3 linked regions of the Drosophila melanogaster genome follow. The protein of the gene in region 1 interacts with the protein of each later gene in a pairwise test. Each region holds a gene or a part of one and is shown on either strand. Other genes may lie near its edges.

What was found.
Region 2: the proteins of ssp3 (region 1) and msd5 interact in a two-hybrid assay, tested with the Drosophila melanogaster proteins (one large-scale study listed by BioGRID).
Region 3: the proteins of ssp3 (region 1) and CG4511 interact in a two-hybrid assay, tested with the Drosophila melanogaster proteins (one large-scale study listed by BioGRID).

The regions. Positions count from the first base shown.
Region 1 is NT_033779.5:18,940,938-18,945,921, forward strand, and holds the start of ssp3 (short spindle 3), read right to left. Parts: upstream 3,024-4,984; 5' UTR 2,530-3,023; coding exon 2,340-2,529; intron 2,022-2,339; coding exon 1-2,021.
Region 2 is NT_037436.4:1,331,780-1,335,047, forward strand, and holds msd5 (mitotic spindle density 5), read right to left. Parts: upstream 1,368-3,268; 5' UTR 1,335-1,367; coding exon 573-1,334; 3' UTR 528-572; downstream 1-527. Other genes in the region: msd1 (mitotic spindle density 1), read left to right, coding at 3-39, 95-474; CG2211 (uncharacterized protein), read right to left, coding at 1,638-1,853, 1,910-2,677, 2,734-2,742.
Region 3 is NT_033777.3:10,852,557-10,856,943, reverse strand, and holds CG4511 (uncharacterized protein), read right to left. Parts: upstream 2,444-4,387; 5' UTR 2,348-2,443; intron 2,200-2,347; exon of another isoform or gene 2,149-2,199; 5' UTR 2,089-2,148; coding exon 1,912-2,088; intron 1,651-1,911; coding exon 1,177-1,650; 3' UTR 532-1,176; downstream 1-531. Other genes in the region: CG6567 (uncharacterized protein), read left to right, coding at 2,583-3,290; CG4565 (uncharacterized protein), read right to left, coding at 3,338-3,492, 3,548-4,202. UniProt on the Drosophila melanogaster protein: Has redox activity with thioredoxin. Required for male fertility and maturation of sperm past the canoe stage during spermiogenesis.

The sequences.
Region 1 (4,984 bases):
TTCCTGCTTCTCTGGTTTCTTCACTTGATTAGTGTTGCTTTTCTGAACGGGAAATGAATTAACCTTAGCTTTGGCATTTTTGATTTCTGGTCGCGTTATGACTATTGATGTCTTCGCTTTAGCCTTAGCCACTTCGATTGGAGCTTTAGTTTTAGCCGATATTGTTTTGACGATAACTTTGCCGTCGTCTTCGCCTTTCTGCTTTTCTTTGTGCTCCTGCTCCTTTTGCTGCTCGTTCAACAACGCCAACGTCGGCAAACTGGCATAGCCTGTGGGCTGATTGAATCTGTTTGCCCAATGCATGCTGGTCCTTCTTCGGTTTTTTACAGTCAACCATCCATCGTCAGCATCAGTCGGAGGTTGAATCTGTTTTGGTTCGGAATGTTGATTCTCCGCCTTCAAAGTGTTTCTTGAATTTGAAAGTTGTTCATTGCTAGCTTTCAGAGTGGATGTGGAACTAGTTATATCCTCTCTAGAACTTAGTCTGGAACTCATTTTAGTTCGTGTGGCCGTGCTTAAAATGGAACCTGGATTAGTTTTCTTCGGTAAAGTTCTAGCACTTGAATTGGTGTTTCTTCCATTTATTTCCAACATGGTTCGGGAGCGTGCCGACAATCTAGATGCCACATTGTTGGGTGGACCATAGCACTCGGTTTTGCTGGAGGGCCTGGGATGTCGCTGTAATCCACTTCTTCCAGTTGTTTTTATTGCAGGAGGAGCTGTAGCTGTTTTGGTGCTACGTAAACCATTGACTGTAGTCGTTAAATTCGGTTTTACCAGACCCGGTTTGGTTGATATGGTCTTCTGAGCTGCTACTCCTCCAGGTGGTGGAATCATCTTCTTCGAAGGACGATTTAGCACACTGGAATACTTAAGGGGACTGTTTTGAACATTGTTTCCTGATAAAGGATTTAAGGGTTGTGGTTTCTTCAAAATTTCCGCAAGTGGTTTAATGACAGTGCTTGGCGGCGTGGGCTCCTTATTTGCCTGCTGATTAAGTAAGGCGTTTTCCATAGACTCCAGAGAAGCCACAGTCATCTCTAGAGCAGTTGCTTCTGAAGCTGCTTCCATTAATTCAGGTTCTTTGCTTAAATCCGCTACGTTATGAATTGGTAGTTCGAGCGAAGATGGCTCTTGTTTGTTTAAGCTTTCCGTTGCGTCTTCATTGTCTATTGGAATGGTCACTTCTTCTAAAGCCTCATTTTCAATTCTATTTTGAGCTTCTCTTTCCTCCGCCTCCATGCGCATTTTCTCCCTGACATCCGCCAGAGTTAGATGTGGATCCTCCAAATCCGTTTGGGCATACTGCGTGCTGCGCAACACGAAATTAGATTTGTCGCCACTTAAATCTAGAGGACCCTCCATGTTATCAGATTGAGATGATCCTTGAGTAGCTCTCTTGCTGGCTGCAAAAAGTTCTCTGACATTCAGTCGCATTGCTCCCTTTGGCACTTGGTCATAGGCACGCAGTAATTTCCTGGGCGAAATCTGTCCATTATCACAGAACGGTGAGGTTTCTCCGGATTGAGTACCCGGAAACAAGGCTGGACTGGATTTGCCCGAGTTGTTGGGGCTGCAGAGACTTCTAGTCCGAACTCTGGGAGTGGGATTGCTCTTGCGCACTTCCCAAGCCAGGCTTTGGGGACGCTGTTGTAGTGGTCGAGATTCATAGTCCCACGACACTTTGAACCATTCGCAAAGCGCCTTAAAATCTCGCACATAGTTTTCAAGCACCAAAATAGTCTCTTGGCAACTGGAAATGTTTTCATAGCACTCCACTGTCTGATAAATCTCATTAATAGCTCTCTGCAAATTTCCGAATAGCAAGGCCCAGTATCTGGCCTGCAGCTCCGACTTCTTGTCCCTTCCTGTGGAGGCGCTGCGCACGCGTGGCCCACCACTACTGCCTCCGCCGCATCCTACACTGGCAGAGGATTTCAGACGTGGGGAAGTGGGCGATTGACAGTTTTTGGGCGTGCCGTTGGGCGACTTCGGTGGCACCATGGGTGGCTTTCGATAGCCTACAAAAGATTTAAGTTATTAATGGGAATTTCAAATAAAATATCATATTTGCTAAAAGTCGAACACTCGGTAATTGTAACGTTTTCATAAGGTTATGACATGAGGAATACCTAAATTAACCATTTTAAAACAAATTAAGCCTACTAATTTATACAACATACGTTATATATATTATAAGCAATTTTTTAGACAATAGTTGCCACTATCATGTAATGACTAAGCATTTTACATGAGTCTCTTCCTAAAAGTAATTTTATAACTAAGAGAAAAACTCCTCAAGTACCGGATATTCAATAGCAACAGTTGATGGTTCTTACAGTCACCGTTTAAAAGAACGCCTCCGCTTCCAACAGCTGGTCCATCGCCACCTGATCCTCCTCCAACGTCGCCGCCCGTGGATCCGAAACCACTGGTAGCACCACTTGAGGTTGTCTCATCGCAAAACTGGTAGACGAGCAGATTTTTCGCCTCTCTGCCCTCGCGACTCAAGACCTCACGCATTTCCATTGTTGGAAAGAAAACAGAAAAAGACCGAAAAGCTTGTTGTTTTTGCTGTTGCTGCGCAGCTTATGCCGGCGTCTCTGCCGCGTCGCTGCCCACGCAGCTGTTGCAGCTGTTCACGCAACTTTTGGTTTTGTCCTTTGTAGCAATCGGAATCCTGATGAACTGTTTAACGTTATAGACACTCCGCGAAAAACACTCGCTTTCACTTTGATTTTAATTGATTATTTCGTTTTTTTTGTTGCTCCTATTTCAGACGTCGCTTCTTTGTTGTTTTTATCGCAGAATTTTGCAACGCCAGTGGACTTGGTAGCATTTTCCAAAGGCGTAACGAGTCTAAAGAAACCGCGATGTGTTCAATCAATGCCTGAAAGATTCCCCTTCACTATTCCAGTTGTCTGCTGCTTGTCTTGTGTCGGTTAGAGAGAAATTAGAATTTTTGATTTCTGCCAAACTCAGCCGAGCAGAGCCAGCTGATTTAAGCGTTGGGCTGCAATTGTGCAATATCTGTCATTGGGTAATCGATAGAAGCTAAACTATCGATACGAGCGCGCACTTAATCGACATTATAAGTAAATTCAATTGTAAGAGCAACTTTTTGAGTATTCAACAAAAAAAACAGAAAAAATACCAAACACAATTATTTCACATTAACGCTTACAAAAACTTTCTATAAAAATGCACAATAATTCTTTTGTTTACAGGAGAAAAGTAAAACAGCGAAAGAGAAAAAAAGAACTCAAATTTGAAATTTTTGGATTACAAAATTGCCTTCAAAATTGGCCCTTAACCGCAAAGCTCCATCCGAAAGCTCACCGCGGGCGAGCGAGACAACCCGAGCTCCGGCAGAGCGGGACAGTTAGAGGGCGAGAATAATCGCGGCGAGTCGATGAACCGGTCTATCGGCGCTGTGCGCCTGTTACAATTCCGGTCTAAATCTAAATGATGCTGCTCACTGCTCTAGTTGTTCGAATCAGAAGCGCCGGCGGAGCGAAAAAGACGAAAGCAAAGAACCCGAGCCCGGAGTCGGTACTAGCTCCGCCCCAAACTCAACTTTTGAGCAGCAAGTACATATAATGTTTTTGTTTTCCAAGTATGTCCTACCTACCGACAGATATTAAAAACAAGTTATTTCCCAGACGGAAAGTATCATCTTCATGCGAGTATCGCACTCGTCAATTGAAGCGAGTGCAACGTAACCAACACTAATTTTTGAATTAAGGCATCGAACGGGAGAACGAAGTCGAAAAAGACACCGTCGTCACTTGAGCCACACAATTTCGATTCATGGACTCTAACGAACAGGCGGCCAGGCTCCGCAGCCAGCAACCCATGAGATTTATCGCGTTGCCAGTCACTCGACCTCCGATTTCGTTCCGTTTCAACTGAGTGTGAATTTCTCAGGCCCACGTACGTCAGTCTGTTTGTCTGCGCTGCGTGCTTGTTTGTTTGTTCGTTTGTTGCCTCGCCATGGAGTCGCTTTGAGAGGGTGTACTATGTATGTGTGAACGTGTGCGGGTGGAGCGGGGCCACGATGGAGTGGTGGTTTTGGGGAAATCATTCCGCGAATTGAGTGGTGGATAGAGTTAGACTCGGCGTTTCCGGAGCAGAATACATATTTGAGTTCACTCTGCGGTTTTCCCTTCTACTTCTTATGTCCGGTGTCTAATTTTGGTTTGGAAAATCCAACCTATAGAATTTAAACCATTTCAGATTTCCATCACAATTTAGCCACAACTATTTAGCCTTGATTTTATTAGACATTAGACAGTTAAATTAGATGTAATACAGTGGGACAAAAGAGAAAAAAAGTACTACTTAAATTGAAGAATTGAAGTAATGGCTTTAATCTGATTCGCTAAAATTTTGATTGCATTGGCTCTACAAATGTGGACTTTAATCGATTTACTTTATGTCAACAATTTTAAAACCGCAAAGGCGCAGAGTGGTACAATAAATAATAGGAAATATTTAAGTTACTCTCACCAAAGGTTACACTGTGGGATCTTATAAAGACGTACATCATAAAAAAAAAACAAGAGAGAACGATATAGTTAAGTTCACCGACCCGTTACACAGTTAGTCTAAGTGGGAACGAGAATTTAACATTTTTCAGGAATATCGGTAGAATTGGGTATAAAGTTAATTTTAATGCATTAAGTTGCGGACGGGATATATTGGGCTATTCATATTTACACTTAACCAATTTTTGAACTGCCTGCATACAACATCATTTTTCTCCAATCATGATCGAACCTAATTTCAAAATTTCCTGATTTTCCCACTCAAAGTTAGATTCCTACATTCCCTATACAGCAATTTCCTGAGGTAACTCTGAGCTCAAATTTTAGAGCAGGACGCAACATACGTCATCGGCATGCCTGGAAGCATGAAAAAATCCTTGAACATATCGACGGACCAGGAGTGCAGTAGCCGGAGCATATGGCTGCATGTCTGGCAA
Region 2 (3,268 bases), on another chromosome or scaffold:
AAATGTCAGACGCTGTGGACAAAATGTTGGCGGGAATGGGTAAATATATCTTTAAACCACCGACACGCGTTCTATTCCGTGCTTCCAATTTCAGCGGCCAATCGGCAGACCATGAACCGCCAGCTGGCTAAGATAGACGAGATAATGGAGCGGTCGAACAACACATTGCTCCACATCGAGTCCAACAGCAAGGCATTCAGTCAGAATGTGGCTTTGTCGGAGACCCAGAAGATGTACAACCTCAGGCCGGAGGCTGAGATGACCCTGTCCAAGATCCTGGAGAACTTCAAGCTGCTCATGTCTAGCAGTGACCAGCGGGAGGAGACATACAGCGCTCTGGAGGGCTGCCTGGCCTACAGGCATCGCGTGGAGCACCTTGGCAGCTCCGTGCGTAAGCTGGTGGCGCTCTACGACACCGTGGGCCAGATGAAGAACTCACAGGAAGAGCAGTATGCCAGCGAGGATTCCCCCTAGCTCATCCATTTTTAGAATTTATTATTATGTTATAGTTGAAAAATAATTTAAATAAATTAAACATTTGATTTGTATTTAAAGCTCTTTAAGCGAGGTTTTCAAATCATGGCCATATTGTAGCTGCTGACTTGGAGAAGCGTATAGGTAAGCACCTCTACGAACATCTCCAGGCGAGCGGCAAGACTCCCGGTGGCGAGTATCTCATTGGGATTGGGCAGCTGGAGGCTGTTGGAGCGCAGGTAGTTGAGCTGTTCCATATTGGCGGCTATGGTCAGAAGCTTCTCCTGCTGCTCGGATGTAAAAGCATCTGGCGGAGACTCACCGCCGGTTGGCATGAGCTTTTCCAGCTGCTGCGCAAATCCATGGAGCTGCGTCAGCTTCTGCTTGTATATGGATTCTGTGGTGTCCAGAGCGGCTGCCTCGTCGTAGATCTTGGCCAGCTTTCGCTGGAAACCCTTAAAATCATTGTACACGTCCACGGCACTGCGCTGCTCCTCCAGACGCGTCAGACTCAGCGAAACGTTGGATGTGTTGATGCCCATGGCCACCGACTCGTCTGCTCCTCGCAGGAGCGTTGAGTTGGTACGTTGTAGCTCCCGCTTCTTGGGCATTTTCTGCAGGTTGGCCGGGTACTCTTCCAAGGTCTTGAAGAGCTCCGCATAGTCGGCTACCGAGCTAAGATCCCTCGGGGGCGTAGTGGCTGCTGCCTCCTCCTCCATCATCTGCTGCAGGCTGTCAAAGAAGGCCCCCGGTTTCATCACCGTCTTGGATACGCACACGTCCTTTAGGTTTCTCACATGTTGCGCGTACTTTCTGTACAACTTGGATGAAATGCTGCTGAAATCTACATTAGTTTCCATTTTTATTGTTTACGCTTCACTTCTCCTTTGATAACTTCGTTTGAATGGCCTGCGCCGCATCTATCGGAAATCGATAACGCAAGCTGTGGCGGTTTAAATTTGAAAACAAAAGTTCTATACAAATTATGATCGCTTACGGATTACTTGGGTTTTTATTTTTAAAAGCACAATTTTTAGAGTGCACTACACGTATTTCAAGTCTTCAGTGGTTTTAACGAGATCTTAATAGGGAGTTTATACCATATGAAAGTTTGGACTAACATGGCTGTTTGAATTCTGAGTCTCAGAACTACAAGGTGCATCTCATCCATACTCGGACTGAACGGTGAGCGAAAACTGACCCTTGGGAATTGAATTGGCATGGTACCAGATGCGTGTGTCCACCAACACAGCATCTCCGGGCTCCACATAGAAGGAGAAGGGCTGACACTGGTGGTCACATTCAGGAGCAGGTGCCAGAAACCAGGTCTTGTTGCCACTTAACTGAGCTTGCCACAACAGGCGGGGAATGTAATCAAGCTATAATAATTGAAAGATTAGTCATAATATTCGTTGATTTCTTGGTTTTTACTTACATGCATCACAGCCCCTTGCTCGTAGCCCATTAATATGAAGTCCGTGTGAGGCATTTCAGCATCGAAGGGCAGGAAATGCGGGCGGGGATACAGCTTTCTGAGCTCCGCCAGGACGGCCGGCTGGCAGACACTCCAGCCCACGAACCAGGGCACTCCTTGAGTAAGATTTGAACGCTCCGCGGACATGGAAAACACATGCTTCAGCGACTTGAGATCAGAGTTGAAGTGCAGAAACTGGCAATCTGAGTCCATTGCTCCCGGGACACTTTCGTACAATTCTTTTATGAAGGCAAAGCTGAGGTTCTTTTGTGCTGGCCAGTGAGCCACCGCCCTCTTCACAATGATGGGCATTGAGGAGTACGCGTGCGGTGCAAACTCCTCCATGGTGAGATTGGCCAAGATCAGGGGAGCCCTCACCCCTTTACAAAACTCGCAGTCACTAATGGGCCTGGTGGCCTCCCATACCAAGTAGTTGTTGGGCAGAAAGCAACGCACTCCGAGCAGGAACGAGATGGTCTCATAAAAGACCGGGGTGGCCACCATGATGAAGAACACGATGCCCAGCAGCCAGAGCAGATTCAACCGGTTCGGGTTGTGGTCCATGTCGCGCGTTTTGCGGAATGCCTCCTCCAGCTCCTGTGTGGACACCAGACCAGTCCGCATCACATTACGATGCAGAGCGTCCAGTTGATCAGCTAAGTCCGGACCCAAGCGCTCCCGAACCGCCTGCATTCGGTTGCCCAGCGTCCGCGTGGGACGGCTGATGAACTGGACCGTTCAGCCCTTTATTATTTTGCATTTCTTCAGTACTTATTATTCCTCACCAGAAACATTTCCAATTGATAGTCCTTCCCCTTTGTTTTGCTTCCAAACAGCTGAGAACGATAGGCTCATGGCGCGAGCTCTTTTGCCTATCGACTACAGAGTTGTCAGGGCTTCATAATTTACCAAATATTTCGTTTTGGTAGTTTAGATATTTACAACTTAAAATGTTAATAGGGCTGTAAATGATGTGCGGGTATAAGTATTGCTTTCACTTATATTGTCAAAAATATTTAAGTAATTTTTAACATTTATACACTGAACTAATTTTAGTCACGCTTAGTATTTTTTCTGGCTTCAGTCACAAACTGTGCCCATGCACTCGCCAGCCCTGTCAGCCGTTCTTCGTATATTTTAACGGTTCGCCCGCGGTCACACTTGTCATTCACTTTTCGCTCTTTGCTCGGTCGTAGTATCGGCCAGCAGCTAAAAATTTGGAAAGATCGTTCGGGCTGGGATTTTCTGCTGATTAGTACAAAGCCAACGTGACAATAACTCAAAAATGTGTCTTGAATAGTGCGTGCATTTACGTTTTCA
Region 3 (4,387 bases), on another chromosome or scaffold:
GCACCTGGCAGGTAAAAGTTTTTGCACCGATTTTGACGATAGTCTGGACCGTAGTTTTATGGCGAGCAAGCTGCAATTGGCGGGATTACGGCGTCATTACAGGTAAATTCAGTTGGCGTCCCTTTTTGTCTTTGGCGGCCATTCCGTTATTCGTCTGCGGCAAGACTGGCAACCCTTGTGTTAAGGGAGGATTTTCGGAATCTCATGATCAGCTGTTCGGGGAAATACCATTACTTTAACTGCAGCGTAGTTTGTTCAAACCTATTATTTCAGGATTATTTCATTCAAAACTATTTAACCCGATGATCAGTTCTGTGTTTTCCAAGTAAGGTTTAATAATATCGATAAATGATGAAAATAATAAGTTCTTAAAGAAATTCTAGTCTTTTTGTTAAAAAGTCATATTTTAATAAAAAGCTGCCTTTCCCGTGTATGATTTAAATAAAATATTACCAAGAGTACGATCTGAAATGCAAAAAACCTGTGTGGGAACCATTTAAGTTTACAACCAATTACCAAGCGCTTGCAATTGTTTTGAACATGCTATTTAATCGTTGATTTCCTTTGATGCTTTGTAGAATTACAAAAATAAATATAAAAACTTGTACATATGTAAGTGTTAGTTACCTCTACTGTAGGAAATGCAATACACCTTTTATCGAAATTTTAAAAATATATATATGCCAGATATTTAGTTTCTTGTCTTTTATGCTCTGTGTATGTTAGTTTCTTGTTTTACGTACACCGTTTTCTGGAGGGCGAGGGCAGTTTGTAAAACTATGCTCAACTTAACATATATACGCAAAGGGTGCACATTCATTTGGAATTGCAAATACCATAAAGATCAAATTTTGAGTTCGCTTAAGCTCGCTAGAGTGGCGCAGCCTTCGAGGCAGCTGATTGAACTGATAGATATTAAAGCACATAATCGGGGGGGAAGGCAACCGAATTAGCCACTTACACTAGGTGGCGATGGGACCGTAGCAGAGGGATCGGAATCGTATAATTAAATAAATAACGCTAGAGTACGCCTAATTGGTTTAGATCCATGTGCTAGGTTTTGATTTGTGTGTGTCCGTTTTTGTTACTCCATCGCTTTTGAGTGTATCTTGTGTGGGAGTGTGGAACGAAAGCTGGAGCTTGGGTAATCGAGAGTGTGGGATGGACTGCCCGTAGTTAGTCATCCAGATCTATATCGGAGTCATCCGAGTCGTAGCCTCCACGTATTGTCTTCTGTGGGCGGTTGATGAATGGTTTGCGTTTCACATCTGGTGGCTGCATCAGATCGCCCTTGTAGTCAATGGCCCCCGAGTGGGCGATGCGCCACTCCAGCATTTCGGTGGCGAAGTCGTCGCAGTTGCCCAGATCGGTGAATCCGACAATGAAGTCCTTGGTCTTGCTGTCCTTCACCAGGGCGATGGTGGGTATCACCTTGATGCGCAGTCGCTGGGTGAGGAATGGAGTCTTTTCGGCATTCACCTTGCAAAACTTGGCCTCCACGTGCTTGGCCGCGAGGATCTTCAGGTGCATGTCCACGATCTTGCAGCGCTCGGTGCTGTCGCGGTAAAAGTGGCAAACAATGTTGGGCGACTTTTTCGACATCTCGAAGAACTCTTTTTCGTCGGCCAGCTCGGTGTAGGTGCCATGACCCTGGAAAAGATTAGCAATTTTGGGGATTAATGAGATTGTTGCGCTAACAAGGTTTTCTTTGAAAGTTAATTTTTACATATATATTTAAGTTTTGAGCTATTTAAGCTGGTAGCCCAATTTGAAAACTAATTTGAATTAATCGAAGCAAGTGTCGCGAATGTCTTAAAAGTCGCATGTTGAATACCATTTGGTCATATACCACTTAGAGAACAATCTCGAAGTATCTTCAATAATTGAGTGTTGTAAGAGATGATCACCTACGTTTCTGAGCCACTCCTGCTTCTTGTTGTTCAGGTCCTTCATTTCGCGGAGCCGCTGCTCCCGCAGGACCTTTAGGTCATCCGAATCGAGGTTGTCCAGGCGGTCGAGCTGCTGGTCCAGCTGCTGCTCGATGGTCTTGGCGGCCGTGAACAGTTGGTTCTCCAGGATGTTGGCCATGTTGTCCTCTTCCAGTTGCTGCTCCTCTGCGTGTCTTGATGTTTCTCCGTTATTTGCACTCTGCGTGTGGTGTGTTCGTGTTGGCGTCAATGGTTGCGCGTGTGTGCGTGTGGATCCGGCACAAATGGAAAGGCGTAGTCATGGAGCCGCAGATGCGTCATGTTTTGTGGAAAATTCAGTTAAGTAAGGCATGTTTTGGGGAAAGCGCAGCGCATTTCGATGGAGGCGCCCACAAATCGATTATTTAGACGGTACTCACCTTTTATTTTCACTTATTTCATTGATTTTACTCCTTAAAAGTTTATTTAGACGTATGGATTCGTGTGACCGTTTGACTTTACATTGGAAAATACAAAAGGCTCCTTAATGTTCAAAATACCATGACAGTATTATTTCCCGTCAGCTGTTTCTTTACGAACCCCTGGCCACACTGCCGCCCTTTGATGGTTATTCCGATAGTGCAATATATTTAGTTGATCAAAGGTGAATTAAAGATGAAGCCAGCCTTGACAACGGTCAATGCCACTGGCAAACACACAGCCTCCGTGATATTCTTCCACGGATCCGGCGACACCGGCCCCAATGTTCTGGAATGGGTGCGCTTCCTTATCGGCCGGAATCTGGAGTACCCGCACATAAAGATAATATATCCCACGGCTCCCAAACAGAAGTACACCCCGCTGGACGGGGAACTATCCAACGTGTGGTTTGACCGCAAGTCCGTGAACATTGCCGCATCGGAAAGCAAGAAGAGCATGTCCCAGTGTTATGATGCGGTCAATCAGCTGATCGACGAGGAGGTGGCCAGCGGCATACCGCTGAACAGGATCGTTGTGGGCGGATTCTCGATGGGCGGAGCCTTGGCTCTGCACACGGGCTACCATTTGAGACGCAGCTTGGCCGGCGTATTCGCACATTCCTCGTTCCTGAACCGCGGCTCCGTTGTCTATGATTCCCTGGCCAACGGCAAAGACGAATCTTTTCCCGAGCTGCGAATGTATCACGGGGAACGCGATACTCTGGTACCTAAGGACTGGGGTCTGGAAACCTTCGAGAACCTAACGAAACTGGGTGTCAAGGGCACATTTCATCCATTGAGGAACACACTGCACGAACTGAAAACTGCCTCCATCACGGATCTGCAGCAATGGATTTATGAAAAACTACCTCCGCTGGAAAACCAAGTACAGAACAAACTCTGAGTGGCAAGTACTTACATATACTTAGGTAAACTTTAATAGTAATTTATTTATTCTTCTATTTCAGTATTTGGCATGAAACCCGTGCATTTTGAAGCACCACAGAGGCAAGTCTTTCCACCTGTCATCTTTTTATACTGCCCTTCTCCGCCATAATGAAAGCATAACTCCTCCTTGGCCGCAATATCCCTTGCTGCGAAAATACCTAAAAAATTACACATGACGAGAGAAGTCGGATCAGAATTAGCAATAAAACTTGCCTATTTTTGGTATGGGACAGTCTATTCGTACAGCTGCTATATGACAGTTCGGTTCGCAGCTGTGGTTCAGGTAGCGTCCGATGTTTCCACGTCTTGATGGATCAACGATGGTCACCTGTTGCTTCTTGTCGCTAGTGTATTCATTAAGCACCAGGATATAGTTCATCAGGCCTAGTTTTTCATTATCATGCAAGCGGCTTCTTGCCTCGGGAACCGTTAAAAGTTCTCCGGCATATTCGCAAATGTATCCTCCTTTTGTAATTTTCGCTGTAGTCCGTAGTCCTTTGGATCCGTACACGGGCGAATCGAATATTTCCAAATGTTTCCTCGGGCCTGAGTACACAAGCCGATTGGAGCACGTGTTTCTACAGCATTTGCACATGTCATTGCACTCAATGACAGGATTTGCGGAATTCCGAAGAATTAATTCGCTGCCATCTTCTGTGAACTCATATTGGCCTCCATGTGCACAGACTTCGCTGTTTTCGCAGGCTCCTTTGCAGTGACAGGGGTTCAAAAGAACAGAATTGTACTCGTCCGCCAAGAATTTGAATTCTTTACTTCCATCGCTGGGCATCAACACAGATTCCAATATGTAATCGAGTCCATCTGGGTGCTCATAGTCGTCATTCGGAGCTGTTTCAGATTCGTCCATTTTTAAAGTTTGTTTACATTACATTCTAGTACGAGAATTGATTCCCCATTTAATGGATGTTGCGCTTTCTGAAGAATATTACACTTTATTGCCTCGGTCACACTCTGAATTTAAAAATGTTCCCTTATTCGGAAGAAAATTGTTTATTTTTTATGATGCAACACATTTGTATATCCTTGCAGTTC